4 linked regions of the Arabidopsis thaliana genome follow. The protein of the gene in region 3 interacts with the protein of the main gene of each other region in a pairwise test. Each region holds a gene or a part of one and is shown on either strand. Other genes may lie near its edges.

Evidence for each region.
Region 1: the proteins of MLO2 (region 3) and AT2G26730 interact in a protein complementation assay, tested with the Arabidopsis thaliana proteins (one large-scale study listed by BioGRID).
Region 2: the proteins of MLO2 (region 3) and FEI1 interact in a protein complementation assay, tested with the Arabidopsis thaliana proteins (one large-scale study listed by BioGRID).
Region 4: the proteins of MLO2 (region 3) and RPK2 interact in a protein complementation assay, tested with the Arabidopsis thaliana proteins (one large-scale study listed by BioGRID).

Annotation. Positions count from the first base shown.
Region 1 is NC_003071.7:11,386,724-11,392,200, reverse strand, and holds AT2G26730 (Leucine-rich repeat protein kinase family protein), read right to left. Parts: upstream 3,904-5,477; 5' UTR 3,581-3,903; coding exon 2,272-3,580; intron 1,583-2,271; coding exon 915-1,582; 3' UTR 519-914; downstream 1-518.
Region 2 is NC_003070.9:11,247,643-11,254,427, forward strand, and holds FEI1 (Leucine-rich repeat protein kinase family protein), read left to right. Parts: upstream 1-1,975; 5' UTR 1,976-2,717; coding exon 2,718-2,817; intron 2,818-2,907; coding exon 2,908-3,043; intron 3,044-3,118; coding exon 3,119-3,190; intron 3,191-3,267; coding exon 3,268-3,339; intron 3,340-3,438; coding exon 3,439-3,510; intron 3,511-3,804; coding exon 3,805-3,876; intron 3,877-3,959; coding exon 3,960-4,031; intron 4,032-4,258; coding exon 4,259-4,347; intron 4,348-4,440; coding exon 4,441-4,599; intron 4,600-4,705; coding exon 4,706-5,038; intron 5,039-5,113; coding exon 5,114-5,362; intron 5,363-5,438; coding exon 5,439-5,572; intron 5,573-5,655; coding exon 5,656-5,874; 3' UTR 5,875-6,273; downstream 6,274-6,785. Other genes in the region: AT1G31410 (putrescine-binding periplasmic protein-like protein), read right to left, coding at 12-173, 309-491, 580-714, 878-1,126, 1,222-1,361, 1,442-1,703; AT1G31430 (Pentatricopeptide repeat (PPR-like) superfamily protein), read right to left, coding at 6,383-6,785.
Region 3 is NC_003070.9:3,799,996-3,805,847, forward strand, and holds MLO2 (Seven transmembrane MLO family protein), read right to left. Parts: upstream 4,239-5,852; 5' UTR 3,876-4,238; coding exon 3,753-3,875; intron 3,701-3,752; exon of another isoform or gene 3,565-3,700; coding exon 3,507-3,564; intron 3,392-3,506; coding exon 3,126-3,391; intron 3,033-3,125; coding exon 2,916-3,032; intron 2,823-2,915; coding exon 2,762-2,822; intron 2,692-2,761; coding exon 2,528-2,691; intron 2,445-2,527; coding exon 2,350-2,444; intron 2,264-2,349; coding exon 2,214-2,263; intron 2,128-2,213; coding exon 2,087-2,127; intron 2,008-2,086; coding exon 1,834-2,007; intron 1,744-1,833; coding exon 1,708-1,743; intron 1,623-1,707; coding exon 1,555-1,622; coding exon of another isoform or gene 1,551-1,554; exon of another isoform or gene 1,466-1,550; coding exon 1,405-1,465; intron 1,312-1,404; coding exon 904-1,311; 3' UTR 725-903; downstream 1-724. Other genes in the region: AT1G11303 (G-type lectin S-receptor-like Serine/Threonine-kinase), read left to right, coding at 1-122, 207-336, 416-724.
Region 4 is NC_003074.8:378,817-385,114, reverse strand, and holds RPK2 (receptor-like protein kinase 2), read right to left. Parts: upstream 4,766-6,298; 5' UTR 4,390-4,765; coding exon 934-4,389; 3' UTR 533-933; downstream 1-532. Other genes in the region: AT3G02125 (pinin-like protein), read right to left, coding at 5,733-6,021, 6,132-6,298.

The sequences.
Region 1 (5,477 bases), on a different chromosome or scaffold from region 3:
TACTAAAATTCAATTAATTTGTAAATTTGTTATATTTTGGTTACATTTTACTAGTTATATGTGTGCGTTTTTTTGGAAGCATTTGTTACGAAATCTTTGAGCATTTTTGTGATATTTTTTGCATCTTTATTTAATAATCCAAATGCAGACCACCAACTAAATATGAAAGTTTTATAATTATTAACAGCTTAATGTTTGAAATAATCATATTCATAATGACTTACTAGCAAGCTTTCAAAAGTGGAAACTGTTTTTGGCTTTGGTCTTGTATCTAATTGCAAATGTAAAAAACTCACTTTCAATTGGAAAATATTGTATGATGAAAAGTAGCAAATCTAATCTAATGACTCATATGACTGATTAGTCGCTTGATATGTTCAAATAAGACGACCCGGATCTCTTTCTTTCTATTTCTACTACTATATGACACATATATATACTTCCTACATGCAAGTTATTATTTTTAAATCATTTTACGTCGATAATAATGTAAACTAATAAAGTAACATCTGTTTTAGTTTTTGGTAAAAAAAAAAAGATCATCTATTCAAACAGCTGAAGAATTAGTGACTATGCATAAAACCCAAAAGAGTGAGTTTCTTGGAAGTGTTTTAGACTGAATTTTGATTTAAACCTGTAAATTGTAAACACCAAATACAAATAAAAGAAAAAATAATAACCACTAGAATATCTCGAAGACTGAAAAAAAAATAGATGGGAGATGCCATCTTGTAGAAGTTGGTCCAAATGCAGAGATGGTCCAGTCTTTTTTGCTTTACCTTCACACCTAACAAAGACCTCACACACTTATCTCATCCCTTTCTTTATCTCCTTTTGAGGAGAAAAAAAAAAAGGTGAACACAAACAAGAAAAACTTTAAAGCTGCTTTCTTCTTAATCAATTCCATTCATTTGCTAAGGTGTGACTGATCGTGGTGGCGTCCTTGATTCTCCTGGAGGAGTCTGACCTTCTGATCCCTTTGACGGGTCATCAGACGATTGTCTTAACCCGTCATCGGTTGTCTCACTTCTGTTGACATCTTCGATCATTCTTAGTACTTCTTGCATTACTGGTCGTTGATCAGGAACCGTTGATACACAAGCCATTGCGATTTGAAGAAGCTGAACCATCTCTTCCTCTATGTTGTGGTACCTCATCAGCTCAACGTCAAATACTTCAGCAGTCCATTCTTCTCGAACCACGGAGAGTACCCACCGAGGTAGATCAATACCTTCTTCCCCAAGTGATGCCTGGTTTGGTGATTTTCCTGTTAACAGTTCAAGAAGCAACACCCCGAAACTGTACACATCCGATTTAAAAGTTACTTTCCGTGTCTCGAGAACTTCAGGAGCATGATAACCCGCCAAACGGTTTGGTGGACTCGAGTTACTGAACAGTTGATTCAGTCCATAATCAGAGACGCAAGTGTCTTGGTTTGGGTGTAGGAGGATGTTTGAAGCTTTAATGTTTCCATGTACCAATTTGGCTGAAACGTGAAGATGCGCCAAACCTCTCGCTGCAGTTATCGCTATTCTCATACGGTTATCCCAATCTAACGGAGTTCGCCCTGATCCACGGCTCCCTAAAACAAACACAAACCTATTAGCCAGATATTGCAAGTTAACTTCAAAATGTAAACACAGTTTCAAAAGACCAAAATGTTCATAGTACTAGCTTAACATTATAATTCCCATCATAACTTAGGTTAAAGCTTTAAATTGTAAATACATTTTCAGTAAATTAAAATATTCATATTCTAAAGGTTCTTTAGTTCCATCACTCATTTAGACAAAAGTTTACTTCAAGGAAAAGAGTTTAAGATATGATGATGAGAAAAGCCCATGTGGAAGAGTCTTTTTCTTTTCCTTTATTCCAATCTTTAAAGAGTGAGAGAGAAGCAAAATTATGAAATAAATTATTATGACACTAACCAGACAGACACATAACAATGTCGGCAACACACTTTTCTCTTTTAATAATTGCATAACAACTCCAGCTATAACTACCACAATTCAACAAAAATAAAATATCTAAAGAATGTGATGCAGTCTAATAAGAATGTTTTTCTTGCCAGCAAAGCAAAATCACACAAGTATCCATTAGAAAAATATTATCAAATCATCACTCCCTAATCTCACTAAGGTTCCAAATCTTAACCATAACCATAACCATAAGAACTCAAAACCTAACCAAGATTCTACACAATGTATCTAACTAATAGTGTAGTAACAATGAAATTGAGCAAAATTGAGTAAGATAATAGATGCTAACCGTGGAGAAGAGCAGATAAGCTTCCGGTAGGCATGAAATCGAAAACGAGAAGTTTCTCATCTTTAGAGTAGTAATAAGCTCTTAATGGAATAACATTTGGATGTTTGATTTTACCAACAACTTCCATTTGTGTTTCGAACTCTTTCTTAGACGCCATTACATCTTTAAGCCGCTTAACAACAACCGTGGTACCTTCCTCTAACACCGCCTTATACGATGTTCCAACACTTCCTTTACCTAAAACCTCAGCAGAAGCTCTAAGCAAATCTTCCAAATCAAAACTATACACTCCTCCTTCAGTGAAAACAAGCTTATTCCTCTCTGTTTCACCTCCCATACCCGATGATGTCCCCGTTACTTCCTCTTTCGAGGACGAAGCACCCGGTGGAAGATCCACATTCCTTGTAGCTACTCCCGCCGGTTTCGGCTGCTTCGTCCTCGCCTCATTACTTCCTCTTCTTTTTCTTAAACACAAGAACAAAAGCAGAGCTAGCAAAAGAAGCGCAACGAGCGCGCTAGCGACGATTATCGCGACAATCGCAGCTTTCGAAAGCTTTGATTTCTTGCTGGATAAACGATTAGAAGGATTAATCAACGACGGAGACGGCGAGGGAGACACAAAAAACGATTTACAAGGCTTTAACGGACCACCACAGAGATCTACATTTCCAGTAAACGATTCAGCTGAGAATCTTGATAATGAAGACGGAATCGAACCGTTTAGATTGTTGTTAGAGACATTGAAATCGACTAAACCGAGACTAATACTAGGAAGATTCCCTGAGAAACCATTGTTACCGAGAAACAAACCAGTCAAGTGAGTGAGATTATTGACTGAGAAAGGTATCGAACCAGTGAAGTTGTTAGATGAGATATCAAGACGAATCAAGTTGTTTAACTGAGTAAAACTCGTCGGAAACTCGCCGGAGAATTCGTTGTGTTGAAGATATAAGCTTCGCAGATGAGTAAGATTTGAGAAATCTGAAGGGATCTGACCAGAGAGACGATTAGAACGAAGACTGAGAACTCGGAGCTCAGTGAGTCGACCTAAGGAGCCTGATGGGATCTGACCGACTAAACCGGTTCCTGGTAACCGGAGAGAGTGGATTGAAGATTGGTTTGAGTTGCATTCGACTCCGACCCAGTTACAAGCTGAGTCTGACTCGTTCCATTGAAGACGATTCTCGTGAGGTATTTGTTGAAGGAAAGTGAGGAGTGCTTGTTTTTCTGCGGTTGATTCCGAGTTGACTCGCTGAGTCAGTAGCAATATCGAGAATAGAGAATTCAAAACCCATGAAATTGACGCCATATTTGGGGGGGTTTTTTTTTTTGGAGAAAGAGAAAAAAAAAACGAAGCTTTTTTGCTTCTTTCTAGTTTTGTCTGTTTTATTACAAGAAGTGGGTTTGCTGAAAACCAGAAGTGGTTTTCCGACAAGAACCCATTTTTGGTTTTTCTGAACTTGGAGAGAGAAGTGTGTGTGTGTGAGTCAATGTGTGTGGAGGTGTGGGATCGTGAAGTCTTTAATGAAGGAGAAGGAGAACGAACGAATCAAATCTATCACGAGGGACAAATATGTTAAACCAAAATATTATTTTTCTTTTATTGGCTCAGACAAAAATATACTATTAAAAGTAAAGTTTCTTTCTTTTTTTCTTTTTTCCATGAAAAAAGCTATTAATATTTCTTTTTCCACATTAAAGCTATTAATACGTAGCTGGAAACAATTGAATTTTCATGCTTTGATGATATTTGTTGAATTTAAAGTTTGATTATTATCTTCGAAGAGACAGTACATTTGAATAGATATCCAAATTAATTTATTTTATTATTTAAATTGCTACTGAATTATGGCATTAGGATTTAAGTAATTGAAATTGACATAATAAAATCCAGCTGACGCAAAAAATAATTACATATGTTTAGCGTATTGATCTTTAATTACGATTACCTAAACCATTTAACCTCTTGGATAACTATAAGAAAATAAACATTTATGGTGTATTCTCCACATATTTGAACAAAATGCTATTTCCTAAACCTAAATCATCCACATTTGTTATATCATAATTTCCTATCTTTGTTTTTTTTACTTGCTCTCCACAATATTCTGAAATAACCTTAACCATAAACATAGATTAAATATCAATCTTTACAAGACTTTTAGAGACTCATCAAGCAAATATTTATCTGGTGGGCTTTGCAAACTTCCGCCCAATAAGGTGTTCAAAGCCCAGTTACAAAAGTTTTGACCCAAGCCTTATTCAGCAAATATTCAGGTCAGGCCTAAACTCTTCCCTACCCAATTTTAGACAATCGTTGTATTGTTTCATGAAACCAATTGAACAAATACATCAATTGGGACATAATGCACTATGTTTCTTGTTGGGTATAAGAATTTTTTGAGAACCATGCCATTAGTTACAACTAGGGATATGATTCATGATACCGAAAGTTTGACCAAACTAAATTACATACGATTTCTATATGAAGATGCAGAGTGAATCAATCAGCTGATGGTGATCAGATCGTTGATGGATTTCAGGACGCTGCATCAGGTTTCATCAGACGCTTGATGTGCAGACATGGATGCGAGAGCAAACGTGGCAAGCTAAGGCGAATGATGTGAAGAGCCAAGGATGGAAGTTAACTTGGAGAGGTGTCAAAGACAAGGTTCATCGAGAAAATATAGAAGATATTATATCGAAGAATAAAGAAAGGAATAGGCTTGGAAACAAGGAAGATTCCATATCAAGAGATTCTCGGAGATCCTAAGGTTAGGGTTCTGGGGAATTGATATAAATATTCTAGAGCAGAGGGTGAGCCGCTTTGAGCACTCTGGGATATTTTTCGATACTAAGTAAAAACTTCAAAGCCGTGCAAAAGCTTGAAGGTGAGTGTGTAGTTCTCTTCGTCTTCACGGGTTAGTGATAAAAAACAGAGAAGAGAATTAGAGCTTAGTTATTCTTAGTCGGGGTTGATCTTTTGGGTAGATTAGATCAAGTAAGAACTGAGATAATACTTGTAACAAAAGTTTATTATCAATAAGAATAAGTCTTTTAAACAGCTCTTTGTGTTGTGGTAGTCTCTATACCTTTTACTATATGGTTTCAGTTTTTGTAAAACCAAAAAACCATAAAATCTGAACCAACCCTAAACCAAAAAACAGTTTGCCTACCCGTAGGTTACTTATTATTATGATCTTTTA
Region 2 (6,785 bases), 7.4 Mb from region 3:
CGGTAACTTACCCATAGATCAGCCCATAAGGTGGCACCGGATTTGGGAACAATCACTGTAACATTAGACATACGTTTTGCGACAGGGATAACATCGCTGCTCCAACCAACAGTGACCCAGACATCTCCGACATTGAAAGCTTTTAAATAGTTGTTACTATCAAATAGTCTAATCTATAAGCAAAAGGGGAAACAAGATCAGCCACCATTGTCATTTTTTCTCAATAACTATAGAGGTTGAGTGAAACACGTCAGCCTAAACTCATCTGTTCTCTTTAGGGTATGGAGAGATAGTAAAGAGGTAATAACCTGTTTCATGAGTGATGCCAGATTTTTCTCCACTGCTAATCTTCCGCCAGGAACTTGTGAATCCAGGTCTGTCGTATTGTATGATGCTCTCATGTATTTGAGAACAGCACCAACAACCTCTCTAGGAGAATTCACCATTGCGATCCTTCCTGCAAGCTCGGGTCGCCACAGATCAGCCCAGTCCTAAATTCAGCAAAATGTTCAGTGATATTCACTTCTTTTAAATAGGAAAACACTAAGACAGCATTTAGCAACAACAAAGTATACCAACCTCTATCGGTGCCAATTTATAATTCTGAAATTTGCTCTTTTTGTATGCTATAACCATGGTGCCCCAGCGGTATGGCACAGCCCACGTTTCACCGTCAGGAGCTTTTTCTCCCGCATAGTTCCTGCGGAGATAAATCTGAGACTTTCTAAGTCATGAAATGAACCCTATGAACATTCCCAAGCTAGCAGAGTACGAAAACAAAACACATGAAAGATTATGCCTATTAAAATCTCTCAAGCTAGTGTTCTTTCAAAAAGACTCATATTCATATTGTTAAACCACTGATTTAAATTCTCACCTTCCATTTATCACTCAAGCCTTTATACCAGTCTTGATCTTCTATCCCTTTCATTGGCTCAATTAGCTTTTCCTTAATAGCAAAACTAAGCCAAGAATCACCAATGCTGATCATATCAGCTGCTGCAGTTGAAGCAGCCCCCTTTTTTCCATTCTTACTTGGTTTCGATAGATCGAAAAAGATCTCTTCAAGATTTCCTCGAAACTGAGTCTTTAACCTCACTCTCTTCCCTTGTGAGCTCATAAACTCCTAAATTCCATTCACAGAATCCAACAACATACATTTTCAACTATAAGCTTAAGATTCAAAATAGAAATGGAAACACAGACAAGTGAAACTAAAACCTTGATCCATGATGGTGGCACTGAGCCACGCAAGGCAACGAGTTTTAGCGGGACAGTAAGAGAATACACTTTAGACTTGTACGCTTCGAAATCAGCTTCCAGTTTTTCTTCATCTTCAACTTCATTTAGATTCTCTTCACCTGCAAAAACATTCCATTGGAACACAAAATTCAAATCCATCGAAATCCCAAGAGTGACGAAAATGTTCAATTTCACGCACCAGCTACAGTTTCTGTGTTGATTTCATTCTCTGTAACGACAATCGGCGGTGGTAGTATTCGAGCGGAGGCCGGAGAACAGACGCGGAGGCTACTTAAACCGATGAACAACACGGTCGAGGCAGAGAGACCAACGATCCTCTCATGAAACCGTTCGTCTCGAGAAACTCGTGCAATGGTGATTCCCCTTCCTCCGTCGCGTCGGTTTCCTCCGCAGTAGAAGCTCGCCGGCGGTTTCACGGAAATAATCGCCGCCGTAGCCATCGATATAACGCGATGGTGAAACAACGGACAACAATGGCTTCTAATCTCAAACCGGTTCAATCAAACCGCTGGGCTTATACCGTAATGGGCCTTAAAAATGGGCCCAATGATTTCGACCATTGTAGAGATTAGGCTTAGCTAAGGTCTAGCTGGCAATAATAATTGGGTTTTATGAAGAAAGCGTCGGTTGACACGTGTGGGAGGTCAAGATCGGCACGTGCGAGACCCACTTCGTTTCTTCTCATTGGTCGTATGCTTTGGAGAAGAAAGCATCTTCTTCTTCTTCACACACTCTCTCTCTCTCACTCTAGTTTTCTCTCTCTTCACTCTTACCATAAATCACACAAACAAAATAAAAAGTCGATTCCTTTTTTGTTTTTTTTATCTTCTCCTTAAGTTATATTTTTTTTTTTTTGCTTTACAGCTCAAATTAGTCATCTTCTTCTTCCTCTGTCTCAATTCTTCCTCCTCTCGGATCCATTTTTAGAGGTTCTTATAATTCTTACTAATTCTGTTTGCTTTTAAAGCTATAACCTTTGATATTGTTGGAAAGAGTGGGGTTTTGGGTCTTTTGCTGAATCGTTTTTTGGATTTGTTATATTGTTCGAATCTTCAGTTGTTATTGTGTTATAGGATTGGATGGTATCTGGGAATTTCGTAATCTATGTTAAGCTAGAGCTGTTTTTGAGCTCTTTTGTTGATGATGATTTTGAGATTGTTGGCCGAATTTAGCTCTCGTTTTCTGATTTTAGCAATTGGAAAGTGTGTATTGGTTCTTGTGAGGCAATTTCACTGTTTTGAGTACTCAAAATGTAGATGAGAGCATGCATAAGTTGTGTGGAGACTGAGCTTAATGTGTAGTGTAATTGACAATTAGTTTTGTGGGCTTTCCTTTGTTTTTCAGGAGTCTAGTTTCTTACTTGAACATAGACATGGAATCAACTAATAACTGACAACCAAGAGGCTGTTCTTTTCAAATGATTGGTAGTAGTTATATTATGCTTGGACAGTGCCATGATGGGCATCTGTGAGATGAAAAGCTGCTGCTCATGGCTTCTTTTGATCTCGTTGCTTTGCTCACTATCTAATGAAAGTCAAGCGATTAGTCCTGACGGTACGTCGATATGAATCAACTATTACTATTCATAGCGTCCTGGACCTTTTATTGAGCTTTAATCCTTTATTGCTTGTTTCCATTCTTCAGGCGAGGCGCTTCTGAGCTTCAGAAATGCAGTTACTAGATCAGATAGTTTCATCCATCAGTGGAGACCGGAAGATCCAGATCCATGTAACTGGAACGGAGTGACATGTGATGCAAAAACGAAAAGAGTTATAACCTTGTAAGTTTTCAAACTTGTCAAGGTTTACTGGTTTTCTCTTCAGTATTTGTGCTCCCTAATACTCTTGTTTCGCAGGAATCTTACTTATCACAAAATAATGGGACCTTTACCTCCTGATATTGGAAAGTTGGACCATTTAAGGCTTTTGTATGTGCTCTCTAGCCTTATTCATTTTTATTGCTTAAGAGAGTACTTCGATTCTGATCATCTGTGTGTCATTGCAGAATGCTTCACAACAATGCTTTATATGGAGCAATACCTACAGCATTGGGAAATTGCACAGCATTGGAGGAAATGTAAGCGCTTTTCCAGGATTTTATACTGATTCCACATGGTTTCTGAGAGACCAATTCCAGTTGCTTATGGTCATCAAAATTGTCCAACTGGTTTTGCAGTCACTTGCAGAGTAACTACTTCACTGGACCAATCCCAGCTGAAATGGGAGACCTGCCTGGCCTTCAAAAGCTGTATGTTTTTTTCTCTTCCCTATACGTACTTGCAAGTGCATCCTTCTTTTAGTGTATGCAATATCTATTTGTTTTTTGTTTTCATTTACTTCTATCACCATCTAGGATCATGGTAACATATGGTTGACTGCATAATGTCTTCTCATGCACATTATATTCAGAACTAGTTATACCTAAACTCTTGGTGAGCAATTTGAAAAGCATGATAATGTATTGTTTACTTCAGATTCACATATTGATTGTTCTCTTTTCTCTACTAAAACTGACTTTTGACTTTTTTATTTTATTTTCAAGGGACATGTCAAGCAACACTCTCAGTGGACCTATCCCTGCTTCGCTTGGGCAGTTAAAAAAGCTTAGTAACTTGTGAGCACCTTAATCTCTAACTTCCGCTGTAATTTATCATATTGCAGTCCTGTGAATCTTTCTGTTTCGTTTGTCTTATGAAGCAATGTCTCGAACAACTTCCTGGTGGGGCAAATACCTTCAGACGGAGTGCTCTCTGGATTTTCTAAGAACTCGTAAGACAATAAACACCCTTTTCTTCTTGTAGGGATAGAAAAATAAAGCCTCTAAAGTTACATTTTTTTTTTTTTTTTGTCAATCCTCTAAAGTTACATTTATACAGCTGATCTTTCATATTTCGCTTATATTCGAGATGATTTTTTGAACCACATAACTATTTAGCTAGATTGTATCAGTGCGACTGAAATTATATGATTCTCAAACTGATGCGTTACTACTACAGCTTCATTGGAAATCTTAACTTGTGTGGAAAGCATGTTGATGTCGTGTGCCAAGATGATAGTGGAAACCCTTCATCACATTCTCAATCAGGTAAAAGCAATTATGAATTTCTTGTGATATACAGGTTTTGTTGTGGCTCTCTATCAGTAAAGTTATATTTATTTGGTGTCTTATACTTTATAGGTCAAAATCAAAAGAAAAACTCTGGTAAGCTGCTGATTAGCGCATCAGCAACTGTAGGTGCGCTACTCCTAGTTGCACTCATGTGTTTCTGGGGATGCTTTCTATATAAAAAGCTCGGTAAAGTCGAGATTAAAAGCCTTGCAAAGGATGTTGGTGGAGGTGAGCCGTATTGATTTTTTTTGTACAGATATTATCTCGTTAAATATTGGGAAATTTCATATTTTTCTCTATCTCCTAAATCTTCATTGTGACTTTTTCAATTCAGGTGCGTCTATTGTGATGTTCCACGGAGATTTACCTTACTCTTCCAAAGATATCATTAAGAAGCTGGAAATGTTGAATGAAGAGCACATAATTGGATGTGGAGGCTTTGGAACGGTGTATAAGCTGGCCATGGATGATGGCAAAGTCTTTGCATTGAAGAGAATTCTAAAGTTAAACGAAGGGTTTGATCGGTTTTTTGAGCGGGAGCTTGAGATTCTTGGGAGCATCAAACACCGATACCTCGTGAATCTACGTGGATATTGCAATTCACCAACATCAAAGCTACTGTTATATGATTACTTGCCCGGTGGTAGCCTTGATGAAGCACTTCATGGTATGATCAATCTGCTCTTTATGGCTCTCTTCCATATTATGAATGATTCACTGAGAAGTTTGGTTCTTGAATTAGTAGAGAGAGGCGAGCAATTGGACTGGGATTCACGCGTAAATATCATCATAGGAGCTGCGAAAGGGTTATCATATTTGCATCATGATTGTTCTCCTCGGATTATACATCGTGATATAAAGTCGAGCAACATTTTGCTTGATGGCAATCTCGAGGCACGGGTATCGGATTTTGGTCTAGCCAAGTTGTTGGAAGACGAAGAATCTCATATCACAACCATTGTTGCAGGCACATTTGGGTACCTAGCTCCAGGTACATATGCCTTTTAAAAGTCTTTACTTACATAAAGATTTGATCTTTCAAATGCTGAGACTTTTCCATTTGACAGAATATATGCAAAGTGGTAGAGCAACTGAGAAAACCGATGTATACAGTTTTGGGGTTTTGGTTCTTGAAGTCTTGAGTGGGAAAAGACCAACCGATGCTTCCTTCATCGAGAAAGGCCTTAACGTTGTTGGTTGGGTATGCAAATAAGATTCTTTTTCAATACTGATATTTTGTTACGACAAACTTGACTAAAAAAGCTTTTGACTCATGATTTACAGCTAAAGTTCTTAATCAGCGAAAAACGGCCAAGGGATATTGTTGATCCAAACTGTGAAGGAATGCAGATGGAGAGCCTTGACGCTCTACTATCAATAGCAACACAGTGTGTGTCTCCGAGTCCAGAAGAGCGTCCAACGATGCATCGGGTTGTCCAGTTACTTGAATCAGAGGTCATGACTCCTTGTCCCAGCGAATTTTATGATTCCAGCTCTGATTAATTGCATAAACCCACCAGTCGAAACCTCGAGAAAAAAAGTAAACCGAGTCCGGTTTCCCGGGGAAAGCCTTCAAATGCTATTCGATTTCCGTTTTTGCTCCCCGAGAAAACCTGCAAATACCAACGAAGAGCCATAATTTTCCAGTTAATGGAACAGAGTCTTTGTGTTGTGTTGCCATTTACTTTGCCCCTCCAGTTTTACCAGATTCGAGCCATTCATTTTCAGCCCTTTCTCTTTTTGTTCTGATTTTTGGTATAAAAACTTTTATTTGAACATGAAATTGAATTGTATAGTTGTGACCTTTGTAGAAAAACTACTCTCTGCCTTTATGTTCTTTTGAAATAATCCATGTTCCTTCATCTTCTTCTTCTTCAGTCTCAATCAATCCTGATTCAGTTACAGAGAAGCTGATATCGATTCAAAACCAACATCGATTCAAAACCGGTTCATTAGCAGGGAAACAAATGTTAATGATAAGGGAAGTAGTTAGAGAATGTACAAGAAAGTTTCAGCTATCAATTTCTTTATGTTCCAAATCCAACATCAAATTTGTCGTTTGATGCAGCATTGAGTTGATCTCATCCATTTTTGGGTGTGATAATAGATCATCTCCAACAATAAACTCATGACCAACCCCATCAATCTCGATGGAGCTGCAACCAGGAAACTTTCTGATTCCCAAATCTTTCATTTTCCTTCTCACATTAGTTACATCTTCCCATCTATTAGCAGATGCATATACACTTGCAAGCAGAGTATGAGCACTGGAATCACTTACTTCCACTTTCTCAAGCTTTTCCGCTACCCGTTCTGCTATTTTTACATTCCCATAGTTCCTAGCAGCACTAAGTAAAGAACAGTATACAGGAACTAGAGTTTCATCGCTTTCACCACGCATCTTATCTATCAAT
Region 3 (5,852 bases):
CTGAAAGCAAGCAACATCTTGCTAGATGAGAATCTGATTCCGAAAATATCTGATTTTGGGTTGGCCAGGATATTCCCGGGGAATGAAGATGAAGCAAACACCAGAAGGGTCGTTGGAACATAGTATGTAACTCCATTCAACCATATGTTTACATCTTTTTTTTCCATTAAGAGTCCTAAAACCGAGAAAATAAATGTATCGTGCAGTGGCTATATGGCACCTGAATATGCAATGGGAGGACTGTTTTCAGAGAAATCTGATGTTTTCAGCTTAGGAGTGATACTCTTAGAGATTATCAGTGGAAGAAGAAACTCACATTCAACTCTTTTGGCTCATGTGAGTCTACTTTAACTCGTAAAGTTTCTTAACTCTCTTGAGATTGTCATCAAGCCATCAAAGCTTCTATGTTTCATAGGTGTGGTCAATCTGGAACGAAGGGGAGATTAATGGTATGGTAGATCCTGAGATTTTTGACCAACTTTTTGAGAAAGAAATACGAAAATGCGTTCACATTGCGCTTTTGTGTGTGCAAGACGCTGCTAATGATAGGCCAAGTGTTTCTACAGTGTGTATGATGCTTAGCAGTGAGGTTGCAGACATTCCAGAACCGAAACAGCCTGCTTTTATGCCTAGAAACGTTGGTTTAGAAGCTGAGTTCTCTGAGAGCATTGCTCTTAAAGCCTCTATCAACAATGTCACCATCACTGATGTCTCAGGACGTTAAAACCTGCAGAAATACAAATGTATGTGTAATTCGTGAAACTCTTAAGCATTGCCAGAGAATAACATATCATGTATCCATATAGATATGGTTATTTCTTATCCAACTAGTAATGTACAAGAAATTATTTTCATATGACAAATTTCCCACTGTACGAAATCAAATATAGCAAACAAGAATCATCATTTCTTAAAAGAAAAATCTCTTAAGCTTTTGCTAGTCCTTATAGGAGGAAGTTCCACAGATGCAAGAACAGGTTCTGAGCTTTCATGCGCAAGAGAATGATGTGTGGAAGTTTCAGCTTCTTGGTGTTGAGACTCAGGATCCCAAAATTGGTGTTCATGATGACCATGACCAGAGTATCTAGGAGAAGGAGAACTTGGGTAATTTTCAACGCTCCGGTTATTGAAATTGTGAAGGAGATGGATTGGAGATGAGCCATGTGTTGGTGTGGTTGGACGGCTAGAGAAAGGTGTGTTGGATCCCGAGTGTCTTCCGTGTTTCGTCTCGTTCTTTGCAGTGTGATGCCACTTCTTTAATGCCGTGGCTACTCTATCGTTGAATACTGTTGGCTTCATTTTACTACCCATCTGCACACAATTTTCATTCAACACAATGTAAAAAAAACTAAAGATCATATAACCAAAATCTGGCATCCATGTAACACTAATGTTTTCTAGTACCTGAGTAACAAGTGCATAGAGTGGAAGAGTCACATAGCTGCAAAGTATCTGCACAACAGCTCTGCAAGATTTATAAAAAGGGGGATTATACTTTTTCAGTTAAAGGACAAATTCTCAGAAGAATCAATAGTCAAGATAATGTTAGCTTACCCAACTACAAGTCTAATGACCACATCTGCAGTGCTTTCATGGAAACAATTATTGAGATTGAATTCATACTGCAAATACAGAAAATTTATGACATAACAATTAGTATAGCCCGTAACAGCGATGTTTTCAAAGAAAATGAAATGGCTCGCTTACCGTACTCCAGGCAAAGAATGCAAGTTGAAATGCATTCTGCAAAGATAAGAAAATTTATTCTACCGTTAGGAGAAAAAACCCGAAAAAGATCGAAAAAACGAGCGGTGAAGGATACAAGTATTGTACCGTAAAAAGGACCAAGTGAATAAGGAAAAGAATGAAGCGTGGCTTGCCAAACCAGAAGAGGTCATCACCAGGCTGAACCACTGGGGCGCCTCTCACCACATCACCTTTCTCTTGGATTCTTAGACCCAATTTTGTTATTATGACTTCAAGCTTTGTTCCAACTATTAGAATTACCTGCAGTTATATATTTTCACTCTGTTACAAAACTGGCGGCAAAAAGACAAAATCGGTTCAAGAGTTTGTTTGTACTTACGACTAGTGGAATGAATGGTAACCAGAGGTAAGAACGTAATCCTGTTTCAAAAGAAAACCGATGTCACTTTTGTGCGACTATTGATGCAGCTAAAATGTAGTTTTTGCGAGTAAGCAATGAACGTTACCATATGAATTGGTCAAGAGGAATAGCACAGCGACAAACCAGATAACCGGACTGCATAAAGTTGGCAGAGATTTAAGATAAAATATCCAAATTGGCTTTGCTCAGACTTTATAAAGCAATCATTATTAGATCCAAACCTGATTTCAACAACGGTTTTGAAGTCTTTCTCTAATGATCTCTGAATATACTTGCGGAAATCGAATCTTGATTCGTTACCGGGAGCAAAATGCGCCTGAAATATGTAGAATGTTAGATCATTGTCTTTGAGAGATACATGTTATAATGAACAATAGATAAAAAGAATAAATTCCATACCATGATGAAACCATGTCTTAGTGCTAAGTAATCAACTTTGGTGACAGATCCAAAGAACTGTCTAAAAAAACAAACAATCCATAGTGTGACTCTCGTCTTGCTCCAGAAATTGAGATGTCTTCTCCCAAAAGATGTGTCCCTCGCAAACCTGAACCTCTCAGGATCTGCATAACAAGACTAATTCATTCCCATTCAGGTCTTTAAGTTTCGTCGAATACTCACATATTTACATACCGTTGGAATACTGATACTCTATTGTCTTTGTCTCTTCCTCCCACGACTTCCACGTCCTCATCTGCAATACTCAAGAAAACAAGTATAAAAATCTTTTGCATACACTCTTTTTCTCGCCTTAACAACTGCGTAAGTCACAAGAAATGTTAGTTACCTTGATCTTTCCGAAAGCATAAGTAACAATGCAGTAAACAACATGAACAACCGCGAGCACGAAGATGAATATATGCAGCTGGTGGATTCCATAAGCAGATACAAAAGCCACTTTCCCCTGAGTAAATCCATCAATAGAAATCAAAATTCCATCGGTTTAACAAGCAGAGAATGATTTTTATATAGAGAGAGAAGGGAGATTATTAGTTACCTTCTCTGCACATTTGTCATAGCCTTTGGTGGCTAAACTTCTTCTATGGATATAAGATTCAGCTAACTCAAGAAGAAGTCTTCGACCGGGTTTATCTCCATCTCCATCATCTTTCTTTCCGGCGTCTTTCTTGCCGTATTTTTTAGCTTCTTCAGCAGCACTGCAAGGGTGCATTGTTGACGCAACTTTCTGGGAGATGCAGATATTTGAGATTGGTGTTTGTCCAATTGTGAGTAGTAGTGATATGAATCCCAACAGCATAAGCTCTGAATGAAGTTACGTAGAAAACAAAATCAGGAGCTTGTTAATGGATGAAGTTAAGTAGAAAAAGATAAGAAGCTTGTTGATAATGGATCAAGTTAAGTAGAAAAAGATAGTTACCTGCTTTGACCTTTTCAAGAGCTTCAAAAAGAGCCTGCTTGTGCTTCTTTTTAAACCACTGTTTAAGGCACAAAAAAAGGAATGATCAGATATTTTCGTTATTCTCACAGATTTAGTAGTGTTGATAGTGATAGGAGAAGAACTAAACAAATCCAAAAAAACAGAGCAGTAATTAAAGAAACAGAGCAGAAAGCAGAGCAAGAAACAGGGGAATCTTGAAATAAGGAGAAATATAAAGAGACTTACGGTTCCAATTTTGTGAATAGAATGTTCGAGGACAATCGAAATAAAGAGTAAGACAAAGCAAACAACAGCAACTGCCCACGTAGAGGTCTCCTCTAAAGTCCGCTCTTTTACTTGATCTGCCATTAGAGCTTAATCCTAAGAAAAAACCCCAAATAAGATTCTTCTAATTCCAGACCAGAGATCTTGTCTTTTTATATATAAATATAGAAACACACGAAGAGAAAGAGAGACACAGTCAGAGTTTCGTGTTCTTCTTTTGATCTAACTTCTCTCTATATTGAATTAGTACGCTACGCAATTTTGAATCTGGTCATAATATAGAGCAGACGAAAGAGGGAAGAAGAAGAAGAAGATAAGACCCGCAACGAGAGACTGTAAACTAAAGAAGGCGTTATTCGAGAAAGCTTCAACGTTTTGACTTTTCTTGTTGTTCCTCTCATGTGACGAGTGACGACGACTCCTCAATTATCAGCATAACCATTATTCTTTTTGGTCTACTTTATTTTGCTTTTTATTGGGTCAATCATCGGTGTTTTGTTTCTATTTTAAATCTATAACATTTTGGTTTCAGCTCGTTAGATTTTCAGAATAAAATAAAGCAAATTTTGAATTTTTTGATTCATTAGTCGTTTATTTTTGTTGGTATAATACTCCCATTTTGTGTACTTTGGAAGCCACTAGAGATTGTATAAGTATAAATAAGAATAACATTACTATAATGGGATCTTTCGTTGGAAAGTTCGTCATTTTGTTTTGTCTATTCCCAACTTGTTTGTTATATCTAAATAATATGCTCGTAGATACCAAGATTCAAGATATAACCATGCTCCTTTTTTTAATTTAAATTTTTACCAAAATGTAAATTTTCTATATATAAAAAAAGATATATTAATTGCTACTTGAAATTTATACAAGAAATTTCACCCATAATTGCTACTTGAAATTTGAAAATGATATTTTCCACCACCACCAATGACTGATTAAAAAATAAACTGATTTCTAACACACCTTACCACCCAAAACCTAATAAAAACTTTAAACTGTACCTCTATTTCTAACACACCCAATTAAAAGTGACTGATAAGTTGTCAAAACATTATTTTGAAAGATACATTGATGATGTGATTGTTTTTTTCTACAAAAATTTCAGTTTCGAAGTTTACCCATTAACGTGTTTTTTTTTTTTTGTTTTTTTTTTCTTGTTAATATCCTATATTTTATTAAATTTTCTTACTATCAACTGTACAAAAGTTTTATCATCCATTATACTATCTATAATGGAATTGTAATTTTATTACACTTAGATGTAACTAGAATTGTAAATATATTATTGTAGCAAACATTTGACTATTAAATTAATTACGTAACCTGGTTTTTATTTTGCCTTTTAATGAAATTATAAAAATTGTATAGTTTGAAAAATATGATACTATGACTATTTCTTATATCTTAAAATATTATTGTCAGATAAAAGAGTTTGGGATTTTTTGATAAGTTGTACTCTACAAAATATTCGAAAACAGCCTGTACAGTTGAACAGAGGCATGCAGCAATGATTAATAATTAATAGTTAGATAATTAGAATGTTAAGTGGAAAATTGTTGTATTTAGCTGACTTTCCAGTTTCCAATAGCCATCGCCCATCGAATGTTTATTTAATCAACATTCTTTAAAATAATGAGAGTGTTTTGCTTACTTGGCACGTGATTAAAGACTACTGACAGAAAAAAACAAGATTAAACATCTAACAGAAATAACATCTTTAAACTATGATTGCAAGTAGATATATATATATATATATATATATATATATATCAGAATAGTTGAAGAAATTACTGAAGAATCAATCAATATACACAAACAAAATTATAGTTTTTCTCCTTCGACAATATACGTTTAGAATTTAAACTAAACGAGATCCATATATACATTTTTTTTAATTTATATTTACTTTGATTGCATATGAGATTGATTGTACATGTACATATATGTTTATGATTATTAGTTAAAACTGATCGTGCATGTACATATATAAACTATGGAGAGTGGATTATAAGATTGTAAAAACTCAAATCTTTCTCTATAATATTTAACACGTGT
Region 4 (6,298 bases), on a different chromosome or scaffold from region 3:
AGCAGGGAGCAAAACCATGGTAAGAGAACTAAGTTTTCTCTCTAAGTCTAATTGTGGATCGTCAGGACTGCTTTGTAACTAATGCGATAAGTGAGCCAAGAAGGGGGCTATATATGATTGATAACGGTGATCTTTCGTAACACACTAATGGCTATAAGCTCTAATTTCCATTCTTCAAATGAAACCGTTAGCCTCAACGAACGGATGTTTCACAAATGTTGAGCCAATGGATGGATATACTCGTCTTTATTATCGAGCAATACGCTTGGCGTTAACTATTCATGGAAGTAGCATGTAGTAGCGAGAGTCGCTCTATTTGATACTAGATACATAGAAGAACCTTTCACATCGCTGTCTTTCAAGAAGGATGAAGATGCCAACTCAACCAAAGCAAGCCAGACCACTACCGAAGAAGATCGACAATCATGAATCAAGACCCAATGATGTACCATTCAAACCCAAATGGGTGGAATTGCTTTCTTATGGGGATTATACTGATAGCATTGTCGGTCTTCTAAGTTAATATTGGGCTCATAGCCCGAGTTTTTTTATTCGCATATATTATTGGGCCCATAGCCCAAGTTTCTCAAAATGGAAATGTCAATCAAACAAAAAGGATCGGCAGTTTAAACATACTAAAAATCGAAAAAGAAAGAAAAACTCCCACAAAACTTTAGTATAAAACAATTTACAAGTGGGAGAAACAAATTAGCTACAAACAATTCTTTCTCATTTTATGGTTTTCTGCTTACTGAGAGAGATCAACCTTCCTATGGCTTCCCCTTTCAAATGTCCTTTTTACCCTCGAGAGAACCCATAGGAAATTCAACCTCTCTTTCTTCTTCTAACAACTACTACGTACACATACAAGTTTACAACTGAGAGAACTTTTTTTAAAGAAAGAATAATAATCAAATCCTGCGGAGGGAGGTGCTAACACGACGGAGGTTGTAGCTGCTTCAACCGTCTTACAACTTGCTTCATCGTCGGCCTCGTCGACAGAGAATCCACCGTACAAACAACCGCTAAATGCAGAACCTCTACTAGATCATCATGCGGACCTGCGTCCCACAATCCCGCTGTGAAAAACTCCTTTGCCCTTCCTTGTCTCAACAACATACAAGCCCATTGCACTATGTTGAAACCATTACCATACGACACAAATGACGGATCAAGTGCTTTCTTGTCCGAAAGCAGCTCTAGAAGCACCACTCCGTAGCTGTATACATCTGCTTTGTCTGATACCCTGCATGTCATTGCGTACTCGGGAGCTACATACCCAAACGTACCCGCCACACCAGTTGTTGCGTGCGTTTCCGATGTCCCAAGCAATCTCGCTAACCCGAAATCTGATAAATACGCATTGCAGTCATCATCTAGGAGGATGTTACTCGGTTTAACATCTCGGTGAAGCACCCGTGGGACGCATTGGTCGTGGAGGTAAGCGAGTGCTCGAGCTATGTCCAGAGCGATCTTATGAAGAACTCTCCAATCTCTTGTGGATCTTTCTTGGATGAATTTCTCGAGGTTGCCTCCTGGGAGATAGTTGTACACCAAGAACATCTCAGTTTCGCTAGCGTGGTAACCGATGAGAGTCACGAGGTTCGGGTGTCGAAGTCTACCAAGAGTTTTGATTTCTGCGTGGAACTGTTGGACTCCCTGAAACCGTCCGATCGAGAGGCGTTTGATTGCGACAACCACATCTTGAGAGATTTCTGCTTTGTAGGTCGCTCCAAATCCACCATTTCCAATCAGATTGCTTGCGTTGAAGTTTCCTGTGGCTCTAACCACGTTGTCAAAGGTTATTGGAACTCCGATATCCATGAACATAGTGACTTCTCGTTTTGTAGTGGCCATGATCTTCGATTTCGGATGCCATTTCCTTGTGTAGAAGAAGAGAATTACAAGAGCAATTAGTACCGAGACAATCGCTGAAGCTGATGCGATTGAGGCGATCTCTAGCGAGTTGAATCCACCCTTTCCTGGCGACTGAGATGGAGCGTTTTCAACAGGCGAAGATGCGTAATCCTGCGTGATAGAATCACCCGTGGAGTCTCGGGAATCCGAAGACGGTGTTGTCAGAGAAAACACATGGCAAGGTCGAAGATAGGGGTTTCCACTAACAGTGCTGCATTTCGTCAGTCCATTGGTTGAAGGAACTGGACCAGACAGATTGTTGGAGGAAACATTGAAAACAGCAAATGTCGCAAAACCCGACGGGATTGGGCCAGAGAGGTTGTTATTGTTGAGAAGCAGGACAGTGAGATTCTTCAAGTTTACGAAATCATGAGGAATACCGCCAGATAGATGATTTGAAGAGAGATCAAGAACATCCAAGGAATGTAACTGACCAAAGCTCTGAGGAATTTGCCCCGTGAGGTTGTTATTCGCAATCGAAAGATATGTCAAAGCTGCCATCTTCTTCCCGAGGCTACCCGGTATCTGACCTTGCAACTGATTCCAGCTCAGATTAAGAGCAACAAGTGAAGCTAGATCCCCGAGACTTGTTGGGATTGGCCCGAAGATCTGATTCACCGAGGCATCAAGAATCTTAAGAGAAGTGCACATGTTGTTTAGTCCCTGAGGAATCCGACCTGAGAGCTTGTTGAAGCTTACATTGACATAAACAGCTTTGAGTTCGTCGCAGTTATCAAACAGATTTCCCGGAAATTGCCCGTACAACCGATTCCCTCCAGCAGAAAATATGTAAGAGACTCGCTTTCCCAACCGCTCCTGTGCAAGTGGTATAGACTTGAGAGTACCAGTGAAGTTGTTGTCTGCAAAATTATGAAACACGGCCGGACCTCCATCACTTCCAAGATCTATCAGGGAAGTTCCAACTTGAGCCTTCTCGGTAAAGAAGGAGAGATAAACAGACGACGGGTCGCTGTAAGATTCAATAGAAAACCTGTCAAAGTAAACAACAGGAGGACAATGGCTTGTGGTATTGTTGAGAAAATCAGGGATTACACCCGATAAGCTGTTTCCACCAACATCAAAAACACTCATGCATGGGACCGAAATCTCTTTGAGAAGCTCCCCAGTAAGCCTATTCGAGCTCAAATCAAGAAGACGAAGGTTCTTGCATTTACTAAGACCGACAGGAATTTCGCCTTTAAAGAAGTTCTGACCCAAATTAACCATCTCCAAGTTTTGACATGAACCCCAATCTCCTGGAAATCTACCTTCTAACGTAGCTCTGGGCACCCAAAGTATCTTTAGTTTCGGAAGCCTAGTGATTTCCTCCGGGATTCCTCCTTGATAGAAATTGAAATCCTCGGTCATCGAGGTTAAATCAGCGCCTGGAGGAAGATCAGCTTCCCCTCTTACACTATTAATGTCTTCATACACATTGTACAGATTTGATAGAACGAGAACAGACAACGAAGAGCAATTTCCAAGTTCAACAGGTAATGGACCACTAAGAGTGTTCCTAGAAACATCCAAAACCTCAAGCTTCTGAAGACTCCCAAATTCTAAAGGGATAGTCTCCTCCAACGTATTCATATACAACAACAACGACCTTAAACCAGCACATTTCCCCAAACTCTCTGGAATCCTCCCAGTCAAGAAATTACCAGACAAATCTAAATGCTCAAGCTTTCCACAGCTATCCCCAATATCTTTAGGCAAAGAGCCTTGAAGCCAGTTTAACGGCAAATGCAACACTCTGAATCTCCCAACAAAACCAGGAACAGTTCCATTCAACTTATTACCACCCAAATTCAAAATCTCCAACTTTGTCAGATTCTGCAGCGAATTAGGGATTTCACCTGAAACTCTGTTAAACCCCAAATTCATAACCCGCAAATTCCGTAACCCAGTAAACTGATCCGGCAATGACCCCGTCATCAAATTCCCTTCCAGATCAAGAACTTCAAGCTTCTCCATTCCCCAGATTCCTACAGGAATCTCTCCACTAAACGAATTAAAAGGCAGAGACAAAACCCTAAGTCCTGTGAGACTCATGATTACAGAAGGCAAATTCCCCGCCAAAGCTCCATGATTTCCGGTACAATCCCTCCGAACACCAAACCCATACAACGGAAACTTACCAATATCACCACAAGTGAAACGATTTCGACTAATTTCAGAACTTCCAGAGCCACTAATGTTAAGAGCCATGACTCGAGAGCTCGAATCGCAAGATACACCAAACCAGGAGCAGTAATCTTCACTCTCTTCGACCCAGCTAGCTAGAATCGAACCAGGGTCCGATACCGTTTTCTTAAACCGAAGCAACACGGATTTGTCCGAATCAGCTAAAACAGTGATTTTTCCGGCGAGACAGGAGGCGAAACAGAGTAAGCAGAGCGAGAAGACAACGTCTGAAGGCATCTGTCTGCGGAAAAAACGCCATTTGATCACTGAAGAAGGCAAAGAAGTCATCTTCGTAACTTATCCCCAAAAATGTTTTTACAACAAAACCCTAAACCCACCTCGCAAGGTCTGCTAATATAGCAATTGACGAGCAAAAGATCCTTCCTTTTACCGTGCGAAACAATCCCAAGCTCGACCCTTTAACCCTAATTTAGGGAGATGATGAGAAGCTTTGTAGTGAGAGAAACTGATGAAGCAGAGAGAGAAAGAGATGAGAGAATTCAACACTGTCACTGAGGAAGACGCGTTTTTTTCTTCTCTCTCTCTTTTTTTTTTTTTTTGATAAAAGATCTTAAAAATGTTTTTAATTTAATTTATGCAGAAAAAAATAAAAAATCGTTCTGTGAATGAGAGAGTGGGTCCACTTTCCTTATTTCCTATTGGCTAACAAACTCTTTAGTGTAATTTTAACTTGGAAGAAGCAATTTTTGATTATTTATCGATCATGTAGTGAAGTTAACATTAAAAGTTTTTAACATCGATCATTGTAGTCTCACCACATCAAATCGCAATAGGTACATGATTGATAACAGTAGGTAGATGCAAGATTATCTTATCACTAAATTTGAGGACAGATTATTTTAAATTTTTTGTTTATTCGAAGTGATGAAATAAAATATGTTGAGTCACAATAAATGTAACAATATTTCAACTCTCCTAGACGTATCAATCTCTCATCGACCAATGTTATGCTAAGATCTTGAAGCTAACATTTATTACAGATAGATATATGTATATGGACATGCATTATATTAGGAAAATTTCATAATCTCACGCTAAAAGAAAAATCGCCTGCCACTATACATAAATGCATGTGACAAAGATGTGTTTCTTTATAACAAAAATATTGAGAAATTGTAAAGTGAAAAAGGGACAGAATCGCCTCTTTTCAAGGATATAACTAAAGGAAGCTTCAAGATAAAGCAAATTAAAATGTTTTTTCTTAAATATAAATTTATAATTTTGTCATGTACACAACACATTAGCCACATTTATGGGGATAAAAAGACTGAGTTTATAACCTTTTCAATTAGAAGAAAAAAAGGTTTGTTTTTCTTTTAGTGAAATATATCTGTCTTTTAGCTACTACTTATAATAATGATACGTATTGAAATAAAGTAATAATGAAATGTGGTCCTTGTATGTATGCATCACCATGACATAAGAGTTATATCATCCATCAACCGGTTTACAACATCCGGTAACCGAAATTAATCGAACCAAAATATGGTGTTAATCCTGAAAACCAGAACTCGGTTTGGATCATCACTCTTGGTTTACAACTATTTTCATCCGTACAATTTACACATAAGAAGAGGAATCGCTTCAAACGCAAACGCTAAAAGTCTCCTCTACTTGAATGAACCGCATTTTGAAGGACAATGGAAGCAAGAGAACCAGCAGGTTCTTGAAGCTTTTAGCGATTGCGTTCGAGACTCGAATTTTTTTGATGCCTTCCTTTGTGGTTGTGGTTCCGGCTGAGACTCAGTTAGCATATTAGATTCTGAATAAGGTTGTAGTTGTTGTTGTGGCTGTAGCATTCGCGATTGAGGCAGCTGATACTCGGGTCTTCGCTTGTGGGAAACGTTTCCTTTGATTTGCATAGACGGCGTTTTGGTAACTGCATCTTCTTTTTGCAATCTGTTACATAAATTCCAAAGAAAGTAAAATTAGGGTTTTAAAGTTTCTTCTTGCTCAAGAAATCATCAAAAATGGATCGATAAATTGAGATTTTGAAGAGAACGACTTACAGTGGGAATGCGAAAGAACCAATGCTGTTATTGCTAGTGTCCGAACGACAAGAAATGCTCGGAGAATGTGAAACTATACTGTTCGAGTCTTCAGGTTTATTCTCCTTCACAGTTTCTATTACTTCTTTCTCTACTAAAGCCTCCGCTTCGATCATATCTGTTTGTTC